Linked DNA regions of Ovis aries. The protein of the gene in region 3 binds, or shares a complex with, the protein of the main gene of each other region. Links are inferred from orthologs where the notes say so. Each region holds a gene or a part of one and is shown on either strand. Other genes may lie near its edges. The genes, in order: HDAC1, MTA3, CDK2AP1, HDAC2, MTA1, MTA2 and CHD4.

What was found.
Region 1: CDK2AP1 (region 3) and HDAC1 share a complex: the UniProt entries of both Homo sapiens proteins name them as parts of the nucleosome remodeling and deacetylase (NuRD) repressor complex. The link is inferred for Ovis aries from reciprocal best matches to the Homo sapiens genes CDK2AP1 and HDAC1.
Region 2: CDK2AP1 (region 3) and MTA3 share a complex: the UniProt entries of both Homo sapiens proteins name them as parts of the nucleosome remodeling and deacetylase (NuRD) repressor complex. The link is inferred for Ovis aries from reciprocal best matches to the Homo sapiens genes CDK2AP1 and MTA3.
Region 4: CDK2AP1 (region 3) and HDAC2 share a complex: the UniProt entries of both Homo sapiens proteins name them as parts of the nucleosome remodeling and deacetylase (NuRD) repressor complex. The link is inferred for Ovis aries from reciprocal best matches to the Homo sapiens genes CDK2AP1 and HDAC2.
Region 5: CDK2AP1 (region 3) and MTA1 share a complex: the UniProt entries of both Homo sapiens proteins name them as parts of the nucleosome remodeling and deacetylase (NuRD) repressor complex. The link is inferred for Ovis aries from reciprocal best matches to the Homo sapiens genes CDK2AP1 and MTA1.
Region 6: CDK2AP1 (region 3) and MTA2 share a complex: the UniProt entries of both Homo sapiens proteins name them as parts of the nucleosome remodeling and deacetylase (NuRD) repressor complex. The link is inferred for Ovis aries from reciprocal best matches to the Homo sapiens genes CDK2AP1 and MTA2.
Region 7: CDK2AP1 (region 3) and CHD4 share a complex: the UniProt entries of both Homo sapiens proteins name them as parts of the nucleosome remodeling and deacetylase (NuRD) repressor complex. The link is inferred for Ovis aries from reciprocal best matches to the Homo sapiens genes CDK2AP1 and CHD4.

The regions. Positions count from the first base shown.
Region 1 is NC_056055.1:235,260,698-235,264,877, forward strand, and holds the start of HDAC1 (histone deacetylase 1), read right to left. Parts: upstream 2,801-4,180; 5' UTR 2,735-2,800; coding exon 2,686-2,734; intron 1-2,685. UniProt on the Homo sapiens protein: Histone deacetylase that catalyzes the deacetylation of lysine residues on the N-terminal part of the core histones (H2A, H2B, H3 and H4).
Region 2 is NC_056056.1:81,607,382-81,611,365, forward strand, and holds the start of MTA3 (metastasis-associated protein MTA3), read right to left. Parts: upstream 2,801-3,984; 5' UTR 2,080-2,800; coding exon 1,965-2,079; intron 1-1,964. Other genes in the region: KCNG3 (potassium voltage-gated channel subfamily G member 3), read left to right, coding at 3,536-3,984. UniProt on the Homo sapiens protein: Acts as a component of the histone deacetylase NuRD complex which participates in the remodeling of chromatin.
Region 3 is NC_056070.1:52,346,530-52,350,785, forward strand, and holds the start of CDK2AP1 (cyclin-dependent kinase 2-associated protein 1), read left to right. Parts: upstream 1-1,456; 5' UTR 1,457-1,714; coding exon 1,715-1,769; intron 1,770-4,256. UniProt on the Homo sapiens protein: Inhibitor of cyclin-dependent kinase CDK2. Also acts as a component of the histone deacetylase NuRD complex which participates in the remodeling of chromatin.
Region 4 is NC_056061.1:23,732,599-23,736,704, reverse strand, and holds the start of HDAC2 (histone deacetylase 2), read right to left. Parts: upstream 2,801-4,106; 5' UTR 2,567-2,800; coding exon 2,515-2,566; intron 1-2,514. UniProt on the Homo sapiens protein: Histone deacetylase that catalyzes the deacetylation of lysine residues on the N-terminal part of the core histones (H2A, H2B, H3 and H4).
Region 5 is NC_056071.1:67,472,616-67,476,115, forward strand, and holds part of MTA1 (metastasis-associated protein MTA1), read left to right. Parts: intron 1-150; coding exon 151-302; intron 303-405; coding exon 406-595; intron 596-669; coding exon 670-759; intron 760-1,426; coding exon 1,427-1,579; intron 1,580-1,701; coding exon 1,702-1,737; intron 1,738-1,859; coding exon of another isoform or gene 1,860-2,191; exon of another isoform or gene 2,192-3,500. UniProt on the Homo sapiens protein: Transcriptional coregulator which can act as both a transcriptional corepressor and coactivator. Acts as a component of the histone deacetylase NuRD complex which participates in the remodeling of chromatin.
Region 6 is NC_056074.1:37,480,782-37,484,722, reverse strand, and holds the start of MTA2 (metastasis-associated protein MTA2), read left to right. Parts: upstream 1-1,141; 5' UTR 1,142-1,522; coding exon 1,523-1,550; intron 1,551-1,654; exon of another isoform or gene 1,655-1,929; intron 1,930-2,282; coding exon 2,283-2,350; intron 2,351-2,726; coding exon 2,727-2,820; intron 2,821-3,941. Other genes in the region: EML3 (echinoderm microtubule-associated protein-like 3), read left to right, coding at 90-220, 303-506. UniProt on the Homo sapiens protein: May function as a transcriptional coregulator. Acts as a component of the histone deacetylase NuRD complex which participates in the remodeling of chromatin.
Region 7 is NC_056056.1:209,650,458-209,654,547, reverse strand, and holds the start of CHD4 (chromodomain-helicase-DNA-binding protein 4), read right to left. Parts: upstream 2,801-4,090; 5' UTR 2,715-2,800; intron 1,881-2,714; 5' UTR 1,803-1,880; coding exon 1,703-1,802; intron 1-1,702. UniProt on the Homo sapiens protein: ATP-dependent chromatin-remodeling factor that binds and distorts nucleosomal DNA. Acts as a component of the histone deacetylase NuRD complex which participates in the remodeling of chromatin.

The DNA.
Region 1 (4,180 bases), on a different chromosome or scaffold from region 3:
AAGTAGTTTCTCAGAAAGGAAGAGATCACCCTTCTCTAAAGATGGAGGTCTTTCCACTTTTTCTCTTTTTAAACTGAGAATGTGGAGATCACAAAACTGTGCAAACTGATAAAGCTATGAAGTCACAGACTCCAGCTTCAAATGGGCCCTCACCACTGCCCAGCAAGGCTTCAAATGTTTTTACCTGCTCCCTCTTTCATAACAGCTATCTCTCTTCAAGATGCCTATTCTACCCAACTGCCCTCCCCAACTCTCACGAAAAGGAATATTTTCTTACTTCATCCTAAAAGCCCCCTCCGCTTTCCATCTTCTCTCCTTCAAACATGTTTTTTCTTGCCACTTAACCTCTCATCCCAAAGGAACTGCCTCTTGAAAGAGGGGTGTCCCTACGTGTGCTCTGGTTTCCATCTGACCTGATCTCTCCTCAGGGACCTCCATCGTTACTAGCCCCTCTCCCCAGTATCTTCAACCTCTCCCTAATTTCCATAAAAATTTGCACATACTTAACTCTCAGCCACTACATCTCTTCTTTATTAACAAGCCTCTCTCTGTCTCAACAAGCTTCCTTTTAAAGGGACTTCGTTGGTGGTCCAGTGGTTAAGACTCCGTGCTTCCACTGCAGGGGGCACAGGTTCAATCCCTGGTTTGGGAACAAAGACCCTACACACAGAGTGGTATGATTTTTAAAAAAGTTCAATCTAATGCCTCCTCTTCACTCAACCCTTCAGTCTACAGCAATTTAACTTCAGTTCTAAATGCTGCACAGGAAACAGTTCTTGCCGACACTTGGCCACTCCCTCCCTCTTTCGGCTACTGTAACCCAACACTTTCTGGTTCACTTACATCTCAAGTCATTCCCTCTGTATCTTTATTCACTTTATGAACAGTATTTTTTGAGAATCTACTACGAGCTAGGCACTGTTTTGGGGGCCTGAGTATACAAAGGTAGACAAAACATGATCCTTTTCCCTAAGGAGTTCACTGTCTGTAAGAAGTATGAATAAGTAAATGGGCAATTCCAATACACAGTGACTAATGCACAAATGTACTCTACACACCAGGGAGTACAGAGCATGAAGAACACTCGACTTTTTCTCAGTCCACCTCCTTAGAATCCCACCCTGGACCCTCTTCTCTTTTCACCCTATACAACTTCTTATATGGGATACAAGGGTAACTGCATCCTCTTCTGTAACTAAAATTATCAGCTGTATGTATATATGCTGACAATCATCAAAATTTTCTATTTTCTCATTTGTCTTCTAAACTGCAGACCTGAATGGCCACTGCCTACTGGACACCTCTACTTGGGATATCCCCCAGACATCTCAACAAATGTTTCTTTAAAAAACAAAACCCAACATTATCAACTGGAATGGCCTTCTACATTCAGCATGAAACTGCCCAAACTAGATACTTGGGTATCCTTGCCTTTTTCCTTACTTCTCCATTCATGCGTTTAACTTCTGTCCCAGAGTGATAGTTCTAAGGTACAATAAATCTGATGATGTCACTAACCTGAATACTTCAGTGATTCACCAATGCCCAACTTGTGAATATAATCCAACTTTCTTAGGGTGGTGTGCCCAGCCTTTCGTGATCTGGTCCCCATTTACTTCTCTAGCCTCATCACTTGCAACCCTTTTCTCACCCCTGCTCTACACCTTCTAACACTGTGCCTTCAAATTTATGTCTCCAACATACTGTACATCCAGCCATTTTTCAAAGGTGCTCGCCTCTCTCTTACCTCTCAACTTGTTGTTATTTTTATCCTTCCTGGGCCTAGTTAGTAACTCCTGCTTTTCAGGTCCTAACTGAGATGGCACCTCCTTGCCTGACTTCTCAGGCTGGGCAGATACTTCGCTGTGCTCCCAGCAAACTCTGAGCTGTCCTTCCTCCCAACCTGATAGTGTAGAGCAAATTTTCTGTCATGGTCTATATGCTCCTCCAGACTGAGTGAAAGGAAGGTGGCAAGATCATCCCCTGGCCTCAGCCCCTAAACGATACCTAGAACAGAAGAAGCTGCTGCTCCACAGATTTCTGTTCAACGAAAAAGTTTGTTTTAACAAGTTGCATCCTTCTTCTTCCAACCCCAGGAGTCCCATTTCCCAGCAGCAACCGCAGGGCCCGCTGGGAGACAGGGGGAGGGGAGCTGGTGACCTCTAGGTGCTGAGTCCTGCAGGCCTCTCACCAGAAGAGATGAGGAAGGAAAGGGGCAGTGAGAGATCTTAGGATTCTCAGCAGAACATGTCACCCGGCAATCTTCTTCACCAGATTCTGCCTCCTGCCTCGGACTCAGCCTCCTCTCTAGGAGGCCGCCGCAAACTCCACATCAGACTTCAGAATTCCCCACCAAGGTGACCTCACGCTTCCCCAGGCGACCCTCCTGACCTCGGACCCCCCCCCCGCCCCCGCCTCCCCTCTAAGCCTCGACCCCCTTCCCCTCAGCCTTCTCCCTCAAGCTCCACCTCCTTTCCTCTTAGCCTCCTCCCTCAACCCCAACCTTTTCAAGCCTCTGCCCTCAGCCTCGACCTCCTTCTCTCAGCCTCAGCCTCCTTCTCTCAGCCTCCTCCCTCAGCCTTTCCCAAACGCCTCAGCCTCCCCCCTCAGACCTCCTCGGCTCCCTCTCCCGGATCCCGCCCGGCTCGGGCCCGGCCCCGCCCCCGGCGCGAGGACTGTGCTCACCGTCGTAATAGTAACAGACTTTCCTCTTGGTGCCCTGAGTCTGCGCCATCTTGCTCGCCTCCCGTCCCTCCCGTCAATCGGTCCGTCCGCCCTCCCGCCGGTGGCTCCGCTCAGCGTCCGACCCGCGGGGAGGGGGCGGGCCTCCAGCGTGCTCCGCCCATCCCCGCCCGGGCTCACCTATAGCCGCGCAGCCCGGGCACGACTCCAGCCAATCAGCGGCGCTGGGACGGCCCGGAACTCGGCGGGGGGCAAGGGCAGCCCGGCGAGGCCTCGGAGGGCCCCCTGGGCCTGTACCAAGGTCCGCGACAGGGGGGGGTGGGGCTGCCCCGGGATCGTACCATTCGTCCCGGGGGAAGAAAGTGGGTCTGCTAACTTGGGTGTCCCATTCCGTTTTGGGAGACTGCTTGGCGATCAGAGGCCAACTTTCATTTGACAGAGGCCTACGATGGAAAGTGACTTGCGCAAGGTCACTCAGTTAAGTTTGGAGGGGGAGAAATATAAATTGACAAACGACAGGAAACTGCTGTAGACGAAGGACTGTGCCATAGCTTTACCGACATTATCTCGGTCATCTCTGTTGTTCCTATTGGCGGCTTTGGAGTGGGGCCTTTCATCCGCATTTTACAGACAAGGATAACGAAGTTGAGAACTTTGTGACTTCCTGGGAGTCACACAATAATCACGTTCAGTTTTCAACCACAGATTTTTTAAAACGCTTACTCGACTCCAGAAGCACATATCAAAGTGGCAGAACCCAGCCTTTCTTATTCCAAATGCGGTCTTTCTTTTCAAATGCAGTCCTTTCTTACTCCTGATGCAATTCCTAGGCGGCCTAAGGAGTGCCTTTAGATGGGAGGAAACTGTTGCTTACACCAGAGCAGAGTTTCTAAAGATACTGAAGCTGTTAACATTTTGGATAATACACAAATATGTTGTGGGGGGCCATCCTGTGCACTGTGGGCTTCCCTAGTGGCTCAGACAGTAAAGAATCTGCCTACAATGCTGGAGACACAGGTTCAGTCCCTGAGTGGAGAAGATTCCCTGGAGAAAGGAATGGCTACCCACTCCGGTATAAGGATACTGGAGAATTCCATGGACAGAGGAGCCTGGCGGGCTACAGTCCATGGGGTCCCAAAGAGTGGGACACGACTGAGTGACTAACATTTTCACTTTGTCCACTACTCTTAGATGCCAGTAGCACTCCCCCAGCCCTCTGCAGCTGTGACAACAAAAATTGTACTTAGACATGGCAAAATGTCTCCAGGGCAAGGAGGAGAGGATTGGAGGAAGTATAAAAGTGCCCCCAACCCAATCCTTGAGAACCACTGCACTAGATCAATCAGTCAATCATTATTGAAAGCTAAAGGCTGAAAAGCACTGTGGTGGGCTATTAAAGAGGCAACTACAACAATATTAATATTTGGTGAGTGCTTACTGTGTGCCAAGTAAGTTACTTATGGTTCTACAGTCAATAAGATACATTTTTATGCCTCTT
Region 2 (3,984 bases), on a different chromosome or scaffold from region 3:
TTTGATTCTTGAACTGGGGAATGACTTGATGAAAATGAAGAAAAGGAAGAGCTGTTCAGTGGCATGATATAGGATTCACAGATGGAGGGAAGAACTGGAGTGCAGAGATCAGACAGGAAGCTGTGGCAGCAATGCAGGCCCTGGAGACCGAGGGTTTAGGGTTTGGAACTAGAAACTGTGGCTCCAGCTGTGTCTCCACCGTGATGCTGCTGGTTGGGGAACCTTGGGCAAATTATAGCCACATCTCTGAAGCCTTGTTCCTCCTCCCCAAATAATGGGCTTATAAATCGACACAAGAAAATCTCTTTCAAACTCTAAAATTCTGCCTGATGCCCGATGCAGTCTAAAGATTTACATATGAAGACCCTAAATATCATCTAGAATCCAGAGAAGAATTTAAATGTAATAATTCTCAACAACAATATCAAATCTTAACATATTTTTTCAAGTACAGAGGAATAAAATTGTTTTTAAGAATGCTTTTTAAACCAGATTATATTGAGACAAGCCAATCATTTCTGCATCTTATTGTTTTCTTTGTTTAAGAAAATGACTTGGGTTATTGTTGCTGCAGTAGCAGTTGACGATATTAAAATCAAATAAGAATATTACTCTTGAAACAAATGAAGTGATTTAAACCTATCTCTCTAAGATATTTCATGAAAGTATACCTAGGAGACACAAATTATACTGTCATCAAATTAATTGGTTTTCTAAGCTCAAATGTAATTTAAAATATGATATTTCTTTGACTGGTCCTATCAACAGACTTTAAAGGGATTTTAGATAGAGAACATAGGAAATAAATATAGTAATGTTGAAGCAAATAATCAACAAAATAGTTGTTCTGTGTTCTGTTGCCTGTACAGCTTCTAGAAAGTATTTTTAACGACTCCCTGAGGAATCGGCTCTTGCTGGTGTGAAGCCAGGCTCTTCACTCCACTAGCAGCAGCAAACTTTTCTTCATCCTCATATTCTAGAACAAATCCATTTCCAAGCTGTGCTGAGTCCTTGGTTTCAGGGTTTCTCAGAAATGAACCCTTTCTTGTCTACAGAGATTCAGGGGTGGGGTTCCCACTTCTTGGCTGCAGAAGTGCCTCCTCCTTAGAACAACCTAAGGGGCAAATGACTTTTCCTGAGATCAAGTCAGTTCTATTCTTAAAACCTTCAGGGATCCCATTAGCTTCCTGGATGAAAGCTGACTTCTGGTAGTGGAGATCCCCATGCGTTCAGCCAACCGATGCATTAGCTTTCTTTCAGGCTTTAATCCTCCACACCTGTGATTTTGCTATTAGACATGCTCTGCTCTTTCTCTCTGCCAGTTCATGGCCATCACTTCTTTTGATTCTGTCTTGAAACATTTCCTTCAGGATGTTTTTCTAGTTTAGTAGCAGCTTAGCAAGTAAACAACTCCCATTTTTGAGTTTTTAGTTACATTAAATGCTTTTAAGATAAATTATCAAGTCTAGATATAAAAAATTTATAGAGATTTGCATTCTTTAAGAAATCACCCAACAAGGAACTATATTCAATATCTTGAAAATACTTTTAATGGAAAAAAACTGGAAAATTGTATATAGTGTCTCTACATATTTATCTCTATATATCTGAATCACTTCGCTGTACACCTGGAACATTAAAAATCAAGTATGCTTCAATTTAAAAAAATAGGGCACAAAAAACCACCCAAAATGATTTTACTTTGTGAGCACTCCAATTTTTAGGTGTCTGCTTTTTCGCTAAGAATCCACACTAGAATCAGAGCAACACGACTCTTTCTGGTGACCTCTAGTGGGCACTAGATAACCCTACACAATTATGAAAAGTGAAGGGCAAAGTAAAACCCTTCCCAGTAACCAGCTGGTGTACTCTGAAGCCAGATCACCGCATCCCACCTCACCCCACCACACTCTTAATTTTTCTTTTCGTATGTTTTGCATTTAACAGTTAGCCTTACAACTCACCTGTTTCGCCTCTGGCGGGTACTGCGCGAGCAGGGCTGCCTGTGCCGGAGGTCGTGTGAATTGCTTGGAGCAGTTTAAAATAATCCCTGCCCAGTGGAGCCCACTCCCAGGGCATCGAGCAGTGCCCAGGGAAGTACCCTTCGCAGAGCCTGAAAGGGCTCTTCAAGCTCGAGGGCCGGTGCTGCAGCCGGCTCGGAGGTGCACAGGAGAAATTAAGACATGAAAAGGAGGATGCAGACAAAGATCAGGCAAAATTCTGTTCTTGCCAGTGGCAAGACAATTCTCCCCAGACTTTCATCCCACTCTACAGGGAGCGTCACGAGGGGGTCCAGGGGCGCTAAGCTTAGGCGCTCTCTTAGGACCGGTGCCCCAGAAAGCGGGGGCTGGAGCCGCTCCCCTCCGAGAGAGGCGGCACGGAAGCTGGGTGCTGGGATGTGTGGCCGCCTTCGGAGCACGCGGTACGTGGGTCTCCGCGCCGGGAGAGGAAGGAACAAAGTCGGCAAGAAAAGAATTGCTGGGGTGCCTTCTCTTGAGAAATTCTGTGGGGCGGTCTCAGAAACCTAGCTGGGCTCCGGAGAGTTTCTGGAAAAAGCTCTCCCAGAGCCGTCTGTCCCCGCCCCTCAAATCCTGCACCCCAGTCCTCACTCCTCCTTACCCTCCTGCAGCCTCCTTTTGGGGGGCCGTTAAAAGGGCTCTTGGGGACTCCCCAAGTCATCCCGATGGTCCGGGGAGGGACGCGGGAACTGAGATCCCCAGGCGCGGGGCTTTTCTGCCCCTTCCACTCGGGGCTCCAAGCTCGGCGCATCCCTGCTCTGCGGACCCCTCCCGGCCACTGCAGGCGAGAGCGGAGGGGGAGGACGGCGTCACGAGGCGGGGAGCCCGAGGTCCAGGGCGGGGCGCCGGGGAATCCCAGCCCGAGCGAGGTGCGGGCTCGGGTGGGAAGAGGAGGGCGGCGCGCGGAGGGAGGTGAGCGGAGCGGAGCCAGGAGGCAAGGAGGGGTAACCGCGAGGAGGCCCCGCCCCCGCCTCTCGGGGCCGGCTCTCTGCCGCCTCCGAACCCGCTCACTTTGCCTCTTGCCTCTGGACGGCGGTGGGGCGCTTGCCGGAGCCGTGGCCAGAGGGAGCGCCGGGGACCCGGAGCCATCCAGCGCCCTCGCTTCCTCTCGGCGCGCACGCCCCCGGGGCGGGGGGGAACAGCGCCGCCGCCTTGAAAGGGCACCCCGGCCTCGGAGGGAGCATCCCTCAGGCGCGAGGGGCGGCGGCGCTGGCAGCCTCTTTCTCGGCCAGTGGGGCGCAGCGCTGGCGCCTGAGGGGGACTCCCCGGCCACCTGCAGGGACCGCCGTGCGGAGGGAGCGTCGCTAGCAGCTGCGCTGGGCTGCCGAGAAGGCTAGAGCCAGGGGCCCCCGGGCCAGCCAAGGGCAGCAGCGGAGCCCGGAGGGAGAGCCGGCCGGACAGCCCGCGGGCCCCGACGGCGCGCTCCCCCTTCCGCCATCCGCAGGCAGGCCCCGCGCGGCGGCCGGAGGGGGCGGCGGCGGCGCCCCCGGGCTTGGGGGGCTTCGGGGCAGCCAGCCATGACCTTCGGGCGCAGCGGGGCGGCCTCGGTGGTGCTGAACGTGGGCGGCGCCCGGTACTCGCTGTCCCGGGAGCTGCTGAAGGACTTCCCGCTGCGGCGCGTGAGCCGGCTGCACGGCTGCCGCTCGGAGCGCGACGTGCTGGAGGTGTGCGACGACTATGACCACGAGCGCAACGAGTACTTCTTCGACCGGCACTCGGAGGCCTTCGGCTTCATCCTTCTCTATGTCCGAGGCCACGGCAAGCTGCGCTTCGCGCCGCGGATGTGCGAACTCTCCTTCTACAACGAGATGATCTATTGGGGCCTGGAGGGCGCGCACCTAGAGTACTGCTGCCAGCGCCGCCTCGACGACCGCATGTCCGATACCTACACCTTCTACACCGCCGAGGAGCCTGGCGCGCTGGGCCGGGACGAGACGCGACCCGGCCGTGCGGAGGCCGCCCCTTC
Region 3 (4,256 bases):
GCTTCTAGCCCTGTACTGGTCCAATAAGTAAACCATTGGCTATTGTGGCTACCAAACTGTTGAAATGTGACCAGTCCCAATCAGGATGAGCTGTAAGGGTAAAATACCCGGTGGGTTTTGAATATAGTATCAGAAAAAGAATGTAAAGTATCTTAATAATTGCTTTATATTTATTATATATTGACTTAATACGTTATATATTTAAATCATGTTAAATAAAAAAGATTAATTTCATCAGTTTTTACTTTTTGAAATGTGATTATTTAAATTGTTAAAATATATATGTGGCTTGCAATACTTTTCTATTGGACAGTGCTACTCTAGAGTATTGGTCCCCTGAGAGCAGGGTAGGAAAAGGATGATATTAATTTACCCCCGAACTAACACTTCGCTGAACATCCTTGACGGAACCAGCCTAAAGCTGATCACAAGCGATCCTGGGAAGAGGGGTGTCGCTTGTACCTTCACTTCTAAAGGAAGGAGGGAGGGAATGGGTGTATCCTTTACCTCTGGGGCAATAAGAATTCTCACTAGATCCAGATGTATCTGAAAGTCTGTAGCTAATAAAAGATATTTGCAAAGCAGGGCGATTAAAAATGGCAGAAAAGGGCGGGCATCTTGTGTCTTTTGAGAAGATTTACTATTTAAGGAGAACTCCAAGAAATAATACCTTCAAAAGCTTCATCATCTGATGTAAAATAAATTTCATGATTGCAATTCAGTCAGATTTGAGAAGTGGGCTGTGGTGGGGTAGGAAGAGGGTCAAAAATTGCAATGTAATCTCCAGGAGAGAAGAAACTTGGTCAAGTTTATTCTTGTCTTAGCGCCTAGAACAGTGCTCGCCACACAGCAGGCGCTTTTTAAATATTTGAACGAGTTAAGATGCAAAATTAGGTGGATGAGACGGTGTGTTTTTCGCGGGAGGAGGCCTTTGGCTTTTGTCCAGTGTCAAAGGAGTCTAGGCCGCCAAGGGGTTAACAACCACTTAATACCGACAGGGACGTGAAATTTATTTGAAATCAATGTCAAGAATTGGTTGATCTTATTCTGGGGAGAAGGCAGACCTCGGCGTCTGGAATGATCTACGTGCTTAAAAATACCACTCGCCACCATTTTCTCCAGGTAATTTTCCATCCCTGCCCCCACAGTCAAGGAGGGGGGGGGGCGAAAAAGTAATTCCGCAATCCTACCTAGCTTTAGAGAAAAAAAAAAAAAAAGAAAAAATGAATCGGTACAGCAACAAATCTCCAGGCATCGCCAGCGCAGCAGAAGAAGGGGACCCAGGTGGGCCTCGGGCACTGCCGGGACCCCAGCCCCCCAAACTTTGCCAAGTTGCGGGCGCCGAGTGCGCCCGGAGGCGCGGGGCGCGGCCGCGGGCGGCACCGCCCCCTGACGCCCGGCCGCGGCGCGCCGGGCCGCCCCCTCCCGGCCCCGGCCGGCCCCGCTGGCTCCGCTCAAAGTTTGCGGCCGCCCCTGCGCCCGCGCGCCCGCCCGATGTATGGGTGATATACTGCAGCGGGTGTCAGGGTGAGGGACGGCCATATTTGCCGGTGCGGCCCGAGCCGTCAACAACAAAAAGTGCGCGGGAGCTCGGCGGGCGCACGGACGGGCGCACGGACGCCAGGACCGCCTCGCCGCCGCCGGGTCTCGCCGCCGCCGCCGCCCTCGCGGGCCGGGCCCCGCTGCGCCCCGGCGCGCCCCGCCGCTCGGGGGGATGTCTTACAAACCGAACTTGACCGCGCACATGCCTGCCGCCTCCCTCAACGCCGGTGAGTGAGTGCGCCTCGCGGGCTGCGCGCGCCGCGCCCCAAGTGCAGCCAAGTTGGGGGCTCGCGCGCCCGGCCCCGGCCCCGGCTCCCGGGAGCCCGCGGCGGCCGGGGTCGGCGGGCACCGGGTCCCGGCCCGGGGCAGCGCGGCCGCCGCCGCCATGATTCCGGCGCGCGCGCTGCCAAAGTTCGCGGGTGCGACCCGCGCCGCGCCGGGCCTCGGGTCGGGCCGGGGCTGGGGCCCGGGTCGCGGGCGGCCGCCGCGGTCCCCCCCACGCCGGCGGCCCCGGCTTGTGGGGAGCGCGGCGAGCGAGGGCGGGGGAGGCTTTCTCGGCTCCTTTTTCCTCCGGCTTTTGGGCGGCTCGGCGAGGGCCCCTGCCGGCGGGAATCGGGAGCGGCCCGGTCGCGCCGGGAGCGGGGCGCCGGGAGCGGGGCGCCGGGAGCGGGGCGCGGGTCCGCCCTTGGGGACCTGAGGGGCAGGCCCGGGCGGGGGGTCCGGGAGGCAGGGGTGCACGTGAGCAAGGCCGGGCCACGCGCAGGCGGCGCTGCGGGGCGGCGAGAGCGCCAGGTTGCAGCCGCTCCCGAGGGCGCGGGGCCGCTGGGGTCACCGGCGGTGCAGGGGAGGTGGTCTGTGGACGCCCGCCCGGCCTGGCGTGGGGGAGCAGGTGCCCAAAACGGGGCGCACGGGAGGTCCCCTCAGGCGTGCGCGAAGTGAGAGAAGTTGAAGAAGACCGGGGGCTTCGGAGTTGCCTGCAGGCGGAGGGCGGGGGAGGCATTGAGCCGGGGTCCCGGCTTGGAGCCCCCAAGTCTAGGTTTAGAGGGGCCTCCTCCAGGAGCAGTGCTCTCCGTGTGCTGGGGCTGAAGCTGGGCGGTCCCAGAAAACTCCTGCATAAGTTGTCCGGAAGCTTTAGGCTGAGTCTGGGGGTCTTGCCTCAGAGACCGGGGCGGGGGCGGGGTGTGTGTGTGGCAAGGGGGCACGCGGGATGTGTGTGGCTGGTGGTAAAATTTTGTGGGGTTCGTAGGTGACTGACTGCCCCCTCTCACCGAGGTTCTCCTTTAGACTCTTGGTGGGAAACTTCCAAAAAAGCGAGGTGCATGGGGGTAGGGGTGGAGGCAGGGGCTTGGCAGGAAGGAAATGGGCCTCCCTGGTCAGAAGTGCCACGCTGGCAGTTGGCCGAAAGTTTTGGGCCTTGTCTTCTAATGTTAACTCGATAACTCCAAAATCTGAAGGGCGCCCCAGAAAAGCACTAAGTGTATGTCCATGTACGTATATACCTATACGTAGGTGTATATATGTGTGTGTGTGTTTAACTTCTTGGACAGAGATTTGGGGATTGGAAAGGGTTAAGATTCAGGGTGTGGATGGCTGTGGGGGTAGATAGTTTAGTTGGTCAAGTGTGGGCTCTGTCTGAGCCCCAAGAGCAAACGGCCCCTATTTTCAGCTGAAATGTTCTCATCTCTCGGGTCTGCACACCTTAAGAGGCAGGCTTTGTGGCCAATGTTTCTCACTGCCTCCCTCATCTGACTCTGGGGTGGGATGGGTGGAGGGTCTTGCCGCCGGCCCAGGTGGGCAGGAAGTCTCAGGTTCCCCTGGTGCAGTTGAGGCAGGGACCCTGAACCTGGCCCTTTGGGGACTGGGGTCCCAGAGGGAGCAAGCCACCCGCTTAGGCACCCTGAAGCCCTGCTCTGGGCTGGCTAGCACCTGTGCCCAGATTGTCTTCCTTCTCCTGTGGTGAACTCCAGGAGGAGCGCTGAGGTCTCCAGATCTCTGGTGTTCGGGTGAGGGGCCACCTGCCCCCTGCCCTGAGCGTGGACCCCTTTAGAAAGCCCGCATCTCCCTGAGCCATTTGCATCCAAGATGGACTCTCCACTGCCGCTCCTCCGGCTTCCTTGTCATCATCCCTCACGCCCTCCAGCCCTGCCTCCTGCTCGCGAGTTGCCAAGCCGCGGCCTGGCCGGCGGTGGCAGTGGCGGAGTTAGACAAAGCCCCCGCCTCCCCGCCAGAGAGCCCCCCCAGGCGCCCCAAGTGGCGGGAAGGCCGCCAGCTCCCCAGGCCCGGGCCGCTCTTTGTCTGGCGTGGGGGCGGGGAGCCGCGCCTGGCCCCAGGAGCTGCTGGCCTTTGCCAATCCCTCCCTCGGCTCAGGGCCCTCCCTGGTCCCCGCACACTGCGCGCATTGTCTGCGATGCTCTGAGACGACCGTGCTCACGCCCTGTCTGGTTTTCTCCTTGGCCTTGGGCAGCTGGACCGCCGGCCCTCCCTGTGTCTGCAGGAAGCTGTGGGCATGAGTGGAACTTGGGGTCCCTGCGCCAACTCTTCCCAGGGCCACAGGCACCCCCCTCTGAACACTGAGCAAAGGACTGGCTCAGAGTCGGGTCGACTACCACATCACCCAGGTGACAGGCAAATCAAGCTCTGGGCTCTTGCCTGACTTCTCCACACTGCTTCCACGCCTGCAACCCATTCCTTCTCCCTCTCTCAGGAACTAACCC
Region 4 (4,106 bases), on a different chromosome or scaffold from region 3:
AGAGTCAGTTCTCTGATGCACAAGCTCTTTCCTCACAATTGAAAAAAAAAAAACTACTATCACTATCCTTATAAGCTGACAAAATAGGGTTTTCCTGGTGATGAAAATCTAAGCTTTTGGAATTAACTATCCACAGCTTAACATACTATCACCTACAAAGAATTAGCATAATGATACCTATTCATTTTAATAACCTGTGCAAAATATTTTATTAGCCCACCCCCACAAAAAGAACCCAGAGCATATTCCCAATGTAAGCAATTACATATTCCATTCTAAAAATTAGTCAAGGAAGAGCCATAGACAAAAGACAGATAACCTAACCAGAGACATCTAAACATTCAATTATACACCTGCTGTTGGCCATCAGATGAAGCAGCTGAATGGTCCACTATAAACTATTGACTAAATCACAAAGATTACTCTTCCTATCAAGTCTGCATCCTGCTCTTGGGATCAATACTTGCTCCCATCCCCTCAATGAAGGCTCATTGTAAATGGGCCCAGGAAAAGAATAGCTGTTGATAAAACTGCTACTTAAGTGTACCTTCTGGTTCTGCAGTTCAAGCCTGGTGACAAGAAGTTTCAAGCAGCTCATTTCATCAGAGTCTATCACTGTCAACAGCAACTAACAGCTGCAGGCAGAGCCTTAGTACCAGTTACCCTAACCTTTTAAAACCCTTCTTCTCTACCCCAAGCCCTGCTAACACATCTCTAAACCTTAGAAACAATATAATTTTAAAAATTAAGTTACACACATGGTTATTTACTTTTCAATTTGGTCATGGAACCCAAGTCAAGGCCAGTGACCCAAAATATGCATGAACTCTTAAAAAATTAACTCGAAGGAACTTCAGCAATTTACATTAAAATTAAAATCTCCTCCCATCTCCACCCCTTCATGATGGCATAATTTCAAATCAATTTGTATCACATATACATGCAGTCTTCTCAAAAAATATTTTAAAAACATGGCTGTTAATATTTAACACTTAGATTTCTTCTGTAAGATTTTAGATTGTTCCACAAATTACACAGGTGGTTATTTTATATAAACAGGCATGAAAATGATTCATGCTTGCTAACTGAAGAGATATGATATGGCCATTTTAAAATTAAAGTCTAGATTTATTCTGACCTAGTCCTCTAAGATCTTTCCATCAGTCTATGATTTTACGATTTATGATACATTGAATGTAGGAAACAGCTTCCAAAATTTTTATTGCTTCACACAAATCAGATGGACTTTCAGGTCCCTGAACCTAGCTTCTTTGTTAAATTTTAGAATTTCTTCTCTGGAGAGTAACCTAACTAGGAACCATTTACCAAGTTAATATCTTCGTGCAAACTATAAAAAAGGTAACAACTTCTTTTAGTTTAATTTAGACTAGCACAGGAAACGGGATTCAAAAAGACTTACTGCTCAAATTGCAAATGAAGTCAGGACCTCTAAAACGAAATAATTAGATTTTTATAATTTACTGTTCCATGAGCTCAAGCTTATCTGATTATTTAGTACTTTCTGCCGTACTCCTCAAAGTTTTCCAACACCAGGACTCCCACCACCTAGAAACAGCTTTCGCAAGCCAGATGCCAAACCTATCGGTCCTACACCTCCAAAGCAGGGTGTATTTCCTGATCGAACAAAGAGCAACAAAGAAGTGGGTGGTAACCGCCTCTCAGAGAGGCAAGCCAGGACCCATTGAGGCTGATCTACAACACGAGCGACAACACGCTGCCCCACCACCGTCGCATTTCCCGTGAAGACTGACTACCTCAAACTCGAAAACCCTCATTATTTATTGAGGAAGTGAAGCCCTTTCATTTAAGTGCTGAGAAAGTGGCGCTCAGAGAACCCGGCAAACAAAGGAAAGGGATGGAGCCCACGCAAAACAAGGGTGCGAACGAGCCTCCAGGTGGACGTGGGCCCCCACCCTCAGGGGCTACTCTCCAGCACCCAACCCGGTCGAGGGGTCCAGGGTGAGGCCGGCGGCAGAGAAAAGGAGGAGACGCTCGAGCCAGCCGGGGACACAGAGGAGGGAAGAGGCGGGGAGGGGAGGGTTGGGGGCTGGAGGGGCGGAGCTCTCGGGGCCGTGGGGCTTTGTGTGCAGTCTGGGCCGGGGTAGCTGTTTCGGCCCGCGAGAAGAAATAGGGTGCAGGCGGCCGGAGCAGGGGACCCCCAAAACCTCCCTCCCACGAGCGGCGGGCGGGACAGGCGCGAGGAAGGGCCGTCCCCTTCGCACCAGCACCAAGCCAAGGCAGGCCGGCGGCGGACCGCACTGCCGGAGCGAGAGGGGCCGGAGGGAAAGTGGGGCGTCCGTTTAGCCCCCCGAGGAGGCTGCCGGACGGCGTCGGGTCGGGAATGGGTTAAGATGCTGCCAAAAGTCGGTCCCTCCTCCTGACCCCTCAGCACCCGGCGCGACAACTCGCGACGGCGGCCGCAGAGCCGATGCGGCTCCGGGCCCGGCGCCACAGCCCTGGGCCGCCCACCCTCCCGCCTGCCCGGCGTCTCACCATCATAGTAGTAGCAGACTTTCTTCTTGCCGCCTCCTTGACTGTACGCCATGGGCTCCCCGGCCACCGCCGCCTCCGGCTCCTCCTCTTGCTGCTGCTGCTACTGCTGCCTCCGCGGCTCCGGCGGGGAGAGAAGGCTGGGGCGAAGGTGGAGGGTGGCAGTCCCGCGGGGAAGGGCAGGCCGGAGGGAGGAGAGGAGGGGGGGAGCCGGGAGGGCTGGGTACCGCCCGGCCGAAGGGCCGAGAGCGCGGACCAGGGGGTGGCAGCGGCGCCAACTCGCGACACTGGGGAGGGGGAGGGGGGCGCCAAACTACCTCCGGAGGCCGAGGGGAGGTGGGGCGGGTCCACTGCGACTCCACGGGGGAGGAGGGGGCAAGAGGCTTCTTCAATTTGGGAAAAGAGGCTTTCTTATGATGAGCGACTTGCACAGGACGGCTACCCTATACAGTCGTAAAAGGATTTCTTTTTTAAAGAGCAGGCTTTCGCTTTTAGATTAGGTAGGTAAAGGGAGCATGGAGCCGGGTGCAAGCTTCCCCCCTTCGGATCTTTGCGCAGTGGTTGTGCCTATCCTGAGCCTGCGCAGTCGGCGCCTCCCCAACCGTAGCCCGGGCCGCCTGGACCCCCTCCGCGAAGTCCCACGCTGCTCCCCTCCCCCTCTGTCGCGAAGCTCCCGCCGGGGCGGACCACGTGCTCTGAGCCGGGCGCAGAGAGACCACTATCCCACCGCTTCGACCTTCTTGAACCCGCCGAGCTGCAACCCACGCCCCCTGTACTGGGTCGTCGTGCATTTCATTTATTTTTTTCATTTTCTACTGATAATCGCTGAGAGGAGGTTTTGACCTCGGAAGAGGTCCCCCCTATTAAGGGGACCTATTGCAGACATTAAAGAGCAGAGAGTACTGCCTGACTTTAAATAGGCAGTTATGGCATGCATGTATGTGTTAGGGTTCTAAGTAATTTATTATGTATTTCATTTATATGTGTTAACTCGATTGAGACTCCCAACAACTGGGAGTAAGCTGGGACGTTAAGTATTGTTTCTAGTTCTTCTTTATAAATGGACTTTATAACGCACTTGGTCCTCTCCAAGGTTGATGGTCTGGGGTTTGATTTCAGCCTTTCTCTAAAGTCCACACATCCTAGCTACTCCATTATGACTGCTTCTGCTGGCTGGGCACTGGAAGATGGCAGCATAAAGTTCAGAGAAAGGACTTTCAGAACTTTTGGACGTTATAAATACCTTTGCCCCTGTGTTCAATAAGTCATCAAACATGGAGCCTTTTCAGCCACCCACCTTGTAGGTGATTGGGGTGGGGGTGGGGGATGCTCTTATTCCCATATACCATTTATTGTTTATAAGTGCAGACTCAGTCACTCAGCCCTGTCTGACTCTGCGATCCCGTGGACTGTGCCCCCCTCCGAGAGGAGCAGGTTGCCATTTCCTCTTCAAGGGGAATCTTCCTGATCCGGGGTTGGAACTCCGGTCTCCTACATTGGCAGGTGAATTCTTTACCATTGAGCCCTCTGGGAAGCCCATTTACCATTTATACATTTCCCCAGATACACATTCTCTCCCATCCCTATCAAAAAAA
Region 5 (3,500 bases), on a different chromosome or scaffold from region 3:
CGCACTCTGCCGGGAGGAGCCCTGATGGGGAGCAAGGGGAGCGCGGTGCCCGGGCCCGGGGTGGTGTGGGCGGGCGGCAGCTGTGGAATGCTCTTTGCCGTCACTGGTTCTGCTTAAGAATCCGTCTATTTTCAACTTTGTTGTCCGTAGCCACCCAGTCTTACCAGTGGTATTCTTGGGGTCCCCCTAACATGCAGTGTCGCCTCTGCGCATCTTGTTGGACATATTGGAAGAAATATGGTGGCTTGAAAATGCCAACCCGGTTAGATGGAGAGAGGCCGGGACCCAACCGCAGTAACATGGTAAGCCCCGCCCCGCGCCCCGCCCCGCCCGCCCGCGCGCCCGCCCCTGCGGCCCGGCCCGCGGTCATGGCGCTGTGTCGGGGCGGCGCGCCCCCTTCCGCAGAGCCCCCACGGCATCCCGGCGCGGAGCAGCGGGAGCCCCAAGTTCGCGATGAAGACGCGACAGGCTTTCTACCTGCACACCACCAAGCTCACGCGCATCGCCCGGCGCCTGTGCCGCGAGATCCTGCGCCCCTGGCGCGCCGCCCGCCACCCCTACACGCCCATCAACGGCGCGGCCATCAAGGCCGAGTGTGAGTGTGCCCGGGGCGGGCGGGGTGGGGTGCTGCCGGCGGGCGCGCGCACTGACCCTGGCGCCCTCCCGCAGGCACGGCTCGGCTGCCGGAAGCCTCCCAGAGCCCGCTGGTGCTGAAGCAGGCCACGCGGAAGCCCTTGGAGGCCGTGCTGCGGTTCCTCGGTGAGCCCGCCCGCAGGGTCCTGTGAGGATTCGGAGTGGTCTTCCCCATGCTGTGCCCTCCTGGGTGGGCTCTGGCCTGGGTGGGAGGCGTGCCCCCCAGGAGGGACGCAGAGGGGCGGCCTGGGGCCTCGAGCATCCCGCTTGTCCGTGGCCCTCCGCTCTGCTGCGCTGGGCTAGGATTCGGTCCCTCCCCCTGTGCCCAAGTTCCCTTGGGAAAGACGCTCGGAGCTGGCGGGCCCCCGGGAGACACAGGCGGCTGTGGCCCCTCCTGCTATCTGGGCTCTGGCCTCTGAGAGCCGCTGAGGGCTGGGGCACTTGGTAGGTGTAGGCCTGCGCCTCCTGGAGCCGGTCTGGTGACCTGTCCATGGTCAGCTGATGGAGACCCTAGTTTATCATCTGGCCAGTGGCCAGCCTGGGCTGTCAGCTTTGTGGCCGCTAAGGGGACCTGCTCATTTGTGGGGATCTGGAGCCTGTGTGCTGGTTGGTGGTCGCCGGTGGGCCCGTCGGCTGGACCAAGGGGTCTAGCCCCAGCCTCTGTCGCTGCCCTCAGGGTGCCCAGGGCGCCACACTGGCGTGCCTACCGGGCCTGGGCTGCCCACACACTCCCGGGTGGTGGGGCTGCCGCTGAGGAGCAGCCTGTGCCCACTTGCCTGTGTTGGCCCTGCAGAGACGCACCCCCGCCCCCCCAAGCCCGACCCAGTGAAGAGTGTGTCTGGTGTGCTCAGCGGCCTGACCCCTGCCAAGTCGGCCCCTGTCATCAACAACGGCTCCCCCACCATCCTGGGCAAGAGGAGCTACGAGCAGCACAACGGGGTCGACGGTGAGTCCGGGGGGTCTCGGGCTCGGCCGGCGTGGCTGTGGGCCTGGGGTGCCCGGCGCCCGCCGCGCCCGCGCCTGCTGACCGTGTGTTCTCTCCTCTCTCCTGCCGCCGGGCGCTGCCAGGCAACGTGAAGAAGCGCCTCTTGATGCCCAGTAGGGGTAAGGCCCGGCCCTCCGCACCTGCCTGTGTGCTGTGCTCACGTGTGTGTGGCGGATGGCTCAGGGCAGTCCACGCGGGCTGGGCCGCGCCCCTAACCCGGCGCCCACCTGTCACTCGGCAGAGACCTTGGGGCTGCCCCTGCCCCCACCCGGGCGCCCCAGCTCGCGAAATGCCCTTCCGTCCGGGCCCAGCGCCGGTCAGTGGACTGTCCTCTGTCGGGCGGCCGTGGCGCCCCTGCCGCCCGCCCGCATGCCGTCAGCCTCAGCTCACGTGGCCGCCCGCCCTGTGCTTGTGACCTTGCCTGCGCCTTGCCTGGTGGGGGGCTGTGGGACCCTAGCCCCTCGGGCGCCGACGGGACAGAGCTGTGGTGTGGCTGGCATGGCTGGGTGGGGGTCTGTGAGGCCCAGGGAAGGCCCAGGCCGGGGCCCCACGGGGAGGTGCACCCGGGGCTGAGACTGTGGGCCCTGTCCCAAGTGGGGGGCTCGTGCCGGGGCGTGAGGCCACCACAGGGCTCCCCTGCTGTTGGGCGCAGCTGGCACTGGCTTCCGGAGTGTGGCTCCCTCGCCCACCCAGTGGTCCCGGGCTGCTCTAGTAGGGGTCACCACGGTGCCAGCGAGGAGCGTTTCAGCCTTGTGGGGGCCAGTGCCCCCGACAGTCAGCCTGTGGCAGGACCAGTGAGGGGGAGGTGAACGGAACCAACAGAAGGGGAACTTAGGGGGATGCACTCAGAGCTCCTCCCGCCAGCCCCTCCCAGCAGCAAGGTCCGGCCTGGCGTGGACACCCCCACGCTGCATCATGGGCAGCCAGCATGGACGTGGCCGGAGCCTTCCCCCAGTCTCAGGACTGGAGACCTGCCGGCCCAGGAGGCTGGCCCAGGCTTGGTTCTTGGATCTCTGGGAGGTGGTGGGAGGCAGTGGCTATCTGGCCCAGCCTGGTCCCCTGGACATGCCCATCTCAGTGTGTCCAGGAGCCCGGCAGGCACCTGCTGAGGGTCAGCTGGTGGCACTGAGGTCGGGTCCTCTCACTCCATCCAGACACAGGCTCTTCCCGCCCCAGGCCCCCTGCTGCCTTGCCCACGACCCCTTGGGGAGCCAGCTCACTTGAGCCTTGCCCCCTTGCTGACCTCCCCCTTCCCCTGGAGCCATCCTTGGGTGTTCTCACAGTCCCTGGTCTCAACAGAGTGGCTGGTCCACTCGGCTGCCCACATCCCACAGGAGGGGAAGCGGGTCTTATCAACAGGGCTTGGGGCTTAGGGCTTGACTTGTAAAGAGCTCTTGATAGCAGTGGGATAAACTCTATTCACTTCCGTCAGTTTTTCCAAAATCCACGTGTTCCCGTAGCTACTTCAGCGCCAGCCCTGGATCCCGGGCGGGCGTCAGGGGCTGCACTCAGGCTCACTGGGGTGCTGTGTGGCGGCCGGAGCAGCGGCAGATGTCAGGACCGGCTCTAGGCCAGGGCCCTGACCCCAGGGGGCCTTAACTCCCTAAGCTGGCCCTCTGTGGCCTGTGGCTGCCTCCGCCCCAGGGCCCCGTGTGTACGTCCCCCACGCTAACTGTGTGCTTTCTTCTCTCTGCCACCCGTCCCTCTGGTAGGCACCTACCTGGGTAAGTAGCACACAGCCCTGAGCGCTGTGTGTAGCTGTGCACACCCGTGGACAGCTCGTGAGCGCTGCAGGCTGGCTGCCGGGGCCCCTGCCCCTGCCTGCTGGGGTTGCGGCTACCCCAAGTTAGGAGGTGCTGCAAATGGGGGCTGGACAGCTATT
Region 6 (3,941 bases), on a different chromosome or scaffold from region 3:
CCGGGCTGCCTGAGCTAGGGGGGAAATGGTGCAGCTCTGGACCGCGGGTGGGGGCGGGGAGGTCGGGCTGAGGCCGGCTGCTGTGACAGGCGTGTGGCCAGATGGCTCGGATGGAACTGACATCAACTCCCTGTGCCGCTCCCACAACGAGCGCGTCGTGGCCGTTGCCGACGACTTCTGCAAAGTGCACCTCTTCCAGTACCCGTGCGCGCACGCCAAGGTGAGGCCTCCCGGGGCCTCCGGGGTGGGGCGGGCGGCCGGAGCTCCTCGGCCGCTGCAGCTCCATCTTCTCTCCTGCCCAGGCGCCGAGCCTCGTGTACGGTGGTCACGGCAGCCACGTGACCAGCGTCCGGTTCACGCACGACGACTCGCACCTCATCTCGCTGGGCGGCAAGGACGCCAGCATCTTCCAGTGGCGAGTGTTGGGCGCTGGGGGCACGGGGCCGGTGCCCACCACGCCCTCTCGAACCCCCTCCCTGTCCCCTGCCTCCTCTCTTGACGTCTGACCCCTGCCGGACTGGACCCACCGGCCCTGCAGTGTGGCCCTGCCCCCACCCACCCAAATTCCCCAGGACCGAGGTGACCCTGTCCTCGACTTCGAGACATTCCCAAAAGTGCATTTCCTTGGAGGGGGCGAACGGCACCCCTGCACACACTGTATAGACCCGCTGGCTGAGCCGGGCAGCCCCAGCCTGGGCCCTGACTCCCGCTGCCTGCTGAGGGGCAATAAACCAAAAGCAAAGTCGCCTCCCGGTCCTTTTGTGGGGCGCGGCTGGGCGCCTCGGGGCTTTATGGGGGCGGGGAGGAAGGCAAAGGGGAATGCGGAAAAGGTGAGGGAGGGTGGACTTTTTATGCAAATAACAGGCGAAGCCTCTTGCAAATAACTGCGAGGCTCAAAGGCCCTTCGAGTTTTTCGCGGCCGCTGGTGGAGCTGCAAGACTCCGGCTAGCAGAGAGTTAAGCCCAACTCCTCTCCCCGCCCTCGGAGGCGGGGCCGAGCCGCAACGGAAATAGCCGAGTGCCGGGCCGCGGTTGGCCGGAGGGAGCCGAACTTCTTCCGGAAGTAGCCGAGCTTTGCGGGCTTGCTCTCCGACCGGAGCCGAGTGCTGGGCCTTGTTCTCCGGATCCGCCGAAGGTGTTCCGGAAGGAGGCGAACCCCGAGGCGGGCCGGCAAGTCTTCGCGGCGGCCCTCAGAGTCCAACGTCTGGTGGGACTCGGCGAGGGCGGAGGTAGTTGCAGCCTGCCTCCGGTCCGGCGGGATCCGAGCTCGTTCCGGAAGAAGCCGAGCGGACCGGCGCCGGTCTCGGCGTCCCGGGCGTGAGGCTATAGAGGCGGCGGCGACAGCGCGGGCCGGGATGAGCCGCGACGGCTGAGGCTGCGGAGGCGCCGGCTGCGCGGGCCCGACTGAGACTTCTGCGAAGCGCCGGCCCCGCGCTCAGGGCTTCGCTTCGAGTCCTGCCCTCGGGAGCCTTCCGGACCCCTTTGTGCGGCCGGAGGCGGCGGCGGCGGCGGCGGGAACGGCCATGGCGGCCAACATGTACCGAGTGGGGGGTGAGTACCGGGTGTTAGGGGCTTCGGGACTCGGGGCGGGAGAGGCTCGGCTCCCAGCGGCGCGGGGACCCGCGTCTGGGGCGGCGTGGTCCAGAGCGCGGACCGGAACCGGAACCGGGAGCATGGGGAGCGAGGGCGCGGGGATCGCGACGCGCCCGGGCTCCGAGACTCCCGGGGAGGCTGCGGGCGGCCCGACGGCACTCTCAGGGCAGCGTCTGGGCCGCCGGGGTCGTGGAGTGGGCTTGCGAAAGTGGTTCCAAAGGGGCTGACAGGGCAGGCAGGGGGCGCGAAGGGCCGGCGCAACTGCTTGGCCACCAACGGGGGAGCGGCCGGGAGGTTTCCTTTTCCCAGGCGTTATTGTGCGCCTCGGTTCACAAAGGTGGGGGCCCTGTACAGGGATGAGCAATTGCTCTCCTGAACGAGACCGGGATGCAACTCCATCGCTGAGTTGTGGGGACTGCTGAGCAGGGGAACCCCCTGCTTCTCTTGTCTCCTCCTTAAGGCTCACTTTTGAGCGGAGGATCTGATTTAATAACTGGGTGATTAGGGGGTGGAACGTCCGTCCATTATTTTCTGCTAGTCTGTACACTTCCACATTTCTGCGTCCTCTCTACCTAGACCCTTATCTCCTTTTGGTCTACTCAGGCCTCCTTTCGCTCCTCCCACTCTGGTGCTGGACTCTCCCATCTACTCCTCTGATCTTCCCGGTTCTTCCCCCACCCCCTCCTACAGATTACGTCTATTTTGAGAACTCCTCCAGCAATCCTTACCTGGTTAGAAGGATTGAAGAGCTCAACAAGGTGAGTAGAGCAGAGGCCCGCCACTCCCCCCCTACCCAGCAACCTCCGTCTTCTTTTTTCAGAGATCTGTAACTTCAGGTGAATGAGAGACAAGCGATAACAGAAACCCTGTCCTAAGTACCCATGCATATTCATTCATTCATTTCTTCCACGCTTTCAGGAAAGGCTATTAAGAGTTTAGTGGGAACTTTACTGTTCTGTTTTTTGGGGGGCTGAGGAAAGGGATTTGGAAGTCTGTCCTTAAATGTGAATCTCTTGATTCATAATTTGAGTTTTTCTTACATCCTTTAGAAACTTGTTCACTGATGTTAGTCTCTTCTTTATGCATTTCCACTTTCAAATGATTAGTTTTCACCACCGTTTTTTCTCTCCTTAGACTGCAAATGGAAACGTGGAGGCAAAGGTTGTGTGCCTTTTCCGGCGAAGGGACATTTCGAGTAGCCTCAACAGCCTGGCTGATAGTAATGCCAGTGAGTGTCTTTGTCCCCACCCCCGGTTTCCCTGTCTCCCCCTGCCCATGATCTGAAGCCTGGGCATGTCCCTGCAGGTGTTCTCTTGTAGCATGCCCAAGGCAGGGGTGTGAGTTTGGGGGTGGGAAGTGCCTGGTCTGCAGAGGGAGGCCTGTTTTTACATGTTGGGTTAGAAGCAAGGTGGAGAGGCCATGATAAGGAAAGCCAGAATTTGGCTTGTGTGTGAGTGTGTATTTTTGAATCTGCCTTTGTGAATGGTGTATGTTAAAGAGATGATAGTATGTAAATCGGGGATGAGGAAGCACTTTAGAGAAGCAGATCTCTAGGGGGACAGTTTCGGTTGTGTTGGGATGATAGGTGGTGACTGCGAAGGTCAGGTGAAGAGAAGAGACTGGACTGAGAAGCCTGCATAATAGGAAGGCAGGTTTTTGGTGTGATCATGAGGTGGTAAGACTACACTGATGGGAGAAAATAGGAAGCCAGGAACATTTTCTTGCGCTTTTTCTCTATTCTCACATAGCCTAGGACTCACCTAGCCCTGGACTCCATTTTACATCTTTCCCTTTTCTTTTCAGCCTATCCTGCTTCTCTTGATGCTTTCATCTTTTTAGATACACAGCTTTCTGTTTTCTTATAGTTTCTTTTTCCTTTCCTGCTTTGGCTTTCTTTCCCCTTTCTCTTGTTCTTCCTTTCTAAATTATTTTCCTTATTTTGGGCTTCTTTGAGCATTGGGCGTGAAGGGGTTAAGGAGGACCTGGGCCGACCAAGTTCTCTGGCTCTCTGGGGTTTCCAACCCTGTCTGGCAGGGGCTGACCTTGGTCTTGTCCAATCGGAAAGGCTGTGGGGGGTGTGGTCCCCCTTGCCTTAGCACAGGGTTTCCGGAGCACACAGGCAAGGGGTGGAGCCTACTGCACACCCCTGCCCCCCCCTTCTCCTTGAGGTTGGGAACAATGCACCAATGAGCCTGGGCCTGTGGCTCTTCTGCCCCCTCCCTGTTTGGTTGGCACCCAACCAAGTTAACCCTTTCCACTAAGGTTTCAGGGCAAGTTGCAGCTCCTTGGGGAATAAGGTGTTGGCACTGGCTTGAGAGGTACTGTCCTTGAGAGCCCCCAAAACAAACT
Region 7 (4,090 bases), on a different chromosome or scaffold from region 3:
CTGTACTGTCCCTGTCCCCAGTCAACTACATCTCTAAGAGTCACCATCAAAGCTGGAAGTGGAGACTGGGACAATTCACATAGGCAAAGGGGACCCCCTTCCATCCACAGAAGACCCTCCAACTTCTCAGGCAGATGTGCTGACCTGCCAAGAGGCAAACTGGCTGATATAGAGGAAGATTTGGGAGAGGGGCAGGAATGGGGTGTGGCAAGTGGAAAAACTGGGTCACACTACAGCTTGGGGCAGAGTTCACCCTGGGAGCCCACACAGTTCCCAGTCAACACAGGGGCAGCCCCAGCCCGAGGGGCCAATGGGAAACCCAGATGTGGAGCCAGCACTGGCGGGACGACACTGCTGCTTCTCATGCCCCCCACAGAAAGGATAGGATCCTCTCAGCACTATCACCCTCCCCCACATCCTGGGCCATAGCACAGAAATCTGCCACTGTGCCCTCCACGGTGACAGGATTCAAGCCTCAGTTTCTGATCCCAGCAGCTGAAGACTCAACAAGAACACTGACCCTCTCTCCTAAGTGTACCTGAGTGGAAGGGGAGACTTCCAACTAAGAAAGCGCCAAATGTGGAACCATCTTTCCCAGACCACCTCAACTTGCAGCTGGAGCTAAGGAGAGAGAAGGCAAAAGGGAAAGATGTTTGCTGGGAAACAAAAACAGAGCCAGCAGGATCCCAACTTAATATATACAAAGAAAATGAAGAAATAGCACGTAAACAAAAAGATGAAGAAAACAAATAGGTGACTTAGCTAGATGCTCTGAAGAAAAGACAGAGAAAACAGAGATCCACTTTAGAAACATAACAACAATCATCATCTGAGAATAGACAAGAGTCATTCCAACCAGGCAGGGTGGTTAAAACAATTCGGGTTTGGCCAGTCCAAGGAGCCACCCCAAATCACAGACAGCACAACCCCCAACACACCTACACAAACACTTCACACCACCAGCCCAAACCCTAGGCTACCTGAGCAGGGCAGAGCCTTCTGGGAAAACAGCCAGGATTAAACCGACTTGCCAGAGAAAGAGGGGTGCCCAGGGTATCACCTCCCTTCTTTCTGCCCCTCCCAATGTATCCTGCAGGCTATGACATTCTACCCCAGCCCCACTCTTAACATTCCAGCAATCTGCCTGACTAAAAGCGCTCTAGATCCCAACTGAGGAGCGCAATTCAAACTTCACACAGTTGAAACTGCACAGAAAGCCGGTAACTGATCAGAAGCTAAAAATAAATCAGAGAGTAACCCGCACTCCCTCTTTCTTTTCCACAGCAGCAACCACAAGATCCTGCTAACAGAGATGCTCTGACGGTCTTCTCCAAGAGCAATCCTCAACCCCCTCACAGCCGCTGCCGCCGCGCCCAGCCTCCAGGGGTCCCAGGCACCTGCAGTCCTTCGGGAACCCACACCAGGCAAAGCCTACCAGCCCCGAGAGCTCCCTCGACCGGGATCCGCAGAGCGTTCCCAAAGACAGTGCAGCAAGCTTGCACCGCGGTCCGCGGAGCCCAGGAGGCACATGGCTTCCACCCCCCTCGCGCCGGAGCTCCGCAGAAGGGAACCACTCCCTGCGGATGCCCTCTACCTCAGGCTGCATGGTGGGAGCCCAAAAACTCAACCCTGCCTCTCCACAGTCACTAGGGAGGGCCCAGATGGCTCCTTCCTGCCCGGGGGCCCTGGGGGAAGGTGTTACCTGGGTGGGGTGGGGGCAGACTGTTGTTCAAAAGTGCATCCATGTCGTCCTCCTCGCTGCCCGCGGAGCAGGGGGACGGGGAGCCCAGGCCCGACGCCATCCCCTTCCGCTCCCGGCCAGGGAATTGGCCCAGCTGCTCCTGCCTGCGGCCTGGGGCCCTCGACACTGGCCCGAGTCACTGTGCGGGGGAGGGGGGAGAGAAAGAGAACAGTCAGTGACGCGCACGGCCCCCTCCCCCACCCCGCCGCGCTTTCCGCCCACCCCGGCCCCCCCTCAGCCACCCGAGCAGGGCACCCGAACCACTCAGGCTGAACTTAGTTCCACACTCCCGGGGGCGGCCCGGAAGCTGGCTCCCCGACTGGAGCCCCCCAGAGAGAGCGGCGCCCCCGAGAGCAGGCCGGTGCCGGCGTGGGGAGGGGAGAGGCCGCTGGACGGAGCCGGGCGTGACGGGGGATGGGGTCCGAGTGGCCGCAACTCGGGGGGGGGGGGGCCGGGGGAGGCGGCTGGCGGCGAGGCGCTCGGGGACACAAGGTCACTTGGGGGTGGGGGGGGGCGCCTCCCTGCGCCTGGGGAGGGGCCAGTCCCCAGACAGGGCAGCTCTCCAAAGGCTGTCCTCTGGGACAACTCGGGCTCTCCAGAGGAGCGGCGGGGACGAGGGGGCGTGGAGGCTCGGCGCTCCGGGGGACTGGAGGCGGGGGCGTGGGGGGCCGGCACTCCCACCGGGCAGGGGGCCGAGCCACGTGTCCCGGGGGGCAAGTGAGCTGAGGGCGAGGGGGGCGCCGGGCATTGTGGGAGGCCGAGTACGAGATGGGAGTCGCTGAGAGCGAGACTCGGGTCGGGCGAGGGCGGGGGCTGGGCGCACTGCCGGGCAGGGAGAGGCAGGGTCGGCTCCCGGGGCAGGGGGCGGTCCGCGGGTCCGGGGACGCCCGAGGAGCAACTGGGTGAAGGAAAGACCCTCGGGGCTGGTCGGGCTGAGAGGGGCGTCTCTCTAGGAACCCTGAGCTCTCCTCACCCCGGAGCCGCCGCAGGTCGCGCTGGGTCCGGCCCGGTGTCACTCCCGCTCCGGCTCCTCCTCGCCGCGGCCGAAGGGGGGAAAATGGCTCCGGCTCCGGCGTCGCCTCTTAAAGGGCCCGAAACACCGGCCGGGAAATCCCACCGCACAGGCCCCGCCCCCCCAAGGACAGCCCATAATAACCTCAACCAACTCCAACCCCCCCTCCACTACCGCCACCCTCCTCCTTAGGTCTCCCGGGCAACCCCCGCCCCCTCGTCGCTCCGGCAACCATTGGCCACGCCCCCTTCGAGAGCGCGCGCGCGTGTCACCCGGGCAACCACCCACCTCCTGGCCATCCCATAATACACACGGACACCACCCCCCCACCACCACTACCACCCCACGCACACACACACCATACACATACATGCCAGGGTTGTTGACATCTCATGATATTGCAGACCTTTTGCAACTAACCCTTTATCCCCACCCCCCGACATCCCATAATAGCTATCCTTTGCCAACTTCTTCACTCTTGGCCCTAACGCTAACATCCCATAATAATTCGTCACCTCTCCCTTCCCATGGCCATCCCATAATAAGCACCCGTCCCAGCCCTTCAGCCTCACATCCCATAATACTCATCCCCATCCCCCACAGACATCCCATAATAACCACTCTTCATCCACCCCCAGTTTGATATCCCATAATAGTCAGAAACTCACCCCCCCCCCATCAACGGACACTTCGGCCTCCTCCCACACACATCCCGTAATAATCAGTCTCCCACTTTCAGTACTGACATCCCATAATAACCCAACCCCTGGCGCTGCCCTCAGCCCCTGCAGGCTAGATCCTCACAACTCGACCCCCAGACTTCACACATTCATTCTAGTTCCACAGCCCTTAATAACCACTCCTCCCCATCAGAGAGATATCCCATAATGATCAACAGCCATACCGTCACCCCACAGATGGACAACTAATCTCCTTTCCTCTAACACTGGAAAGATATCCCATCATTTCACTCCCCCACCCACACACTGACAGCCCATAATAATTGCAAAGAACTCGTGGTCAACCAGACATACCATAATACTCCCAGCACAACCCAGAGTCACATCCCATAATGCTTCACCTCCACTACACTACCCCTATACCTTTTCAGCCAGACATCCCATAATATTCATACTCATACCTCCTCCATCTCCAAGGCTGTCAGTCTATTCTAACACCCACACCAGAGAGGGTGAAGCGGGCTACCCACATTACCCTGTCCCCGCCCCAACCTGTACACACCTTCATCCCTTAATGAGCCAAAGCAGTGTCCTGGCACAAAGCCTCTTGATGTATGAGATAGACCCTCGCTTTCCTCATCCATCATTTCCAGACAC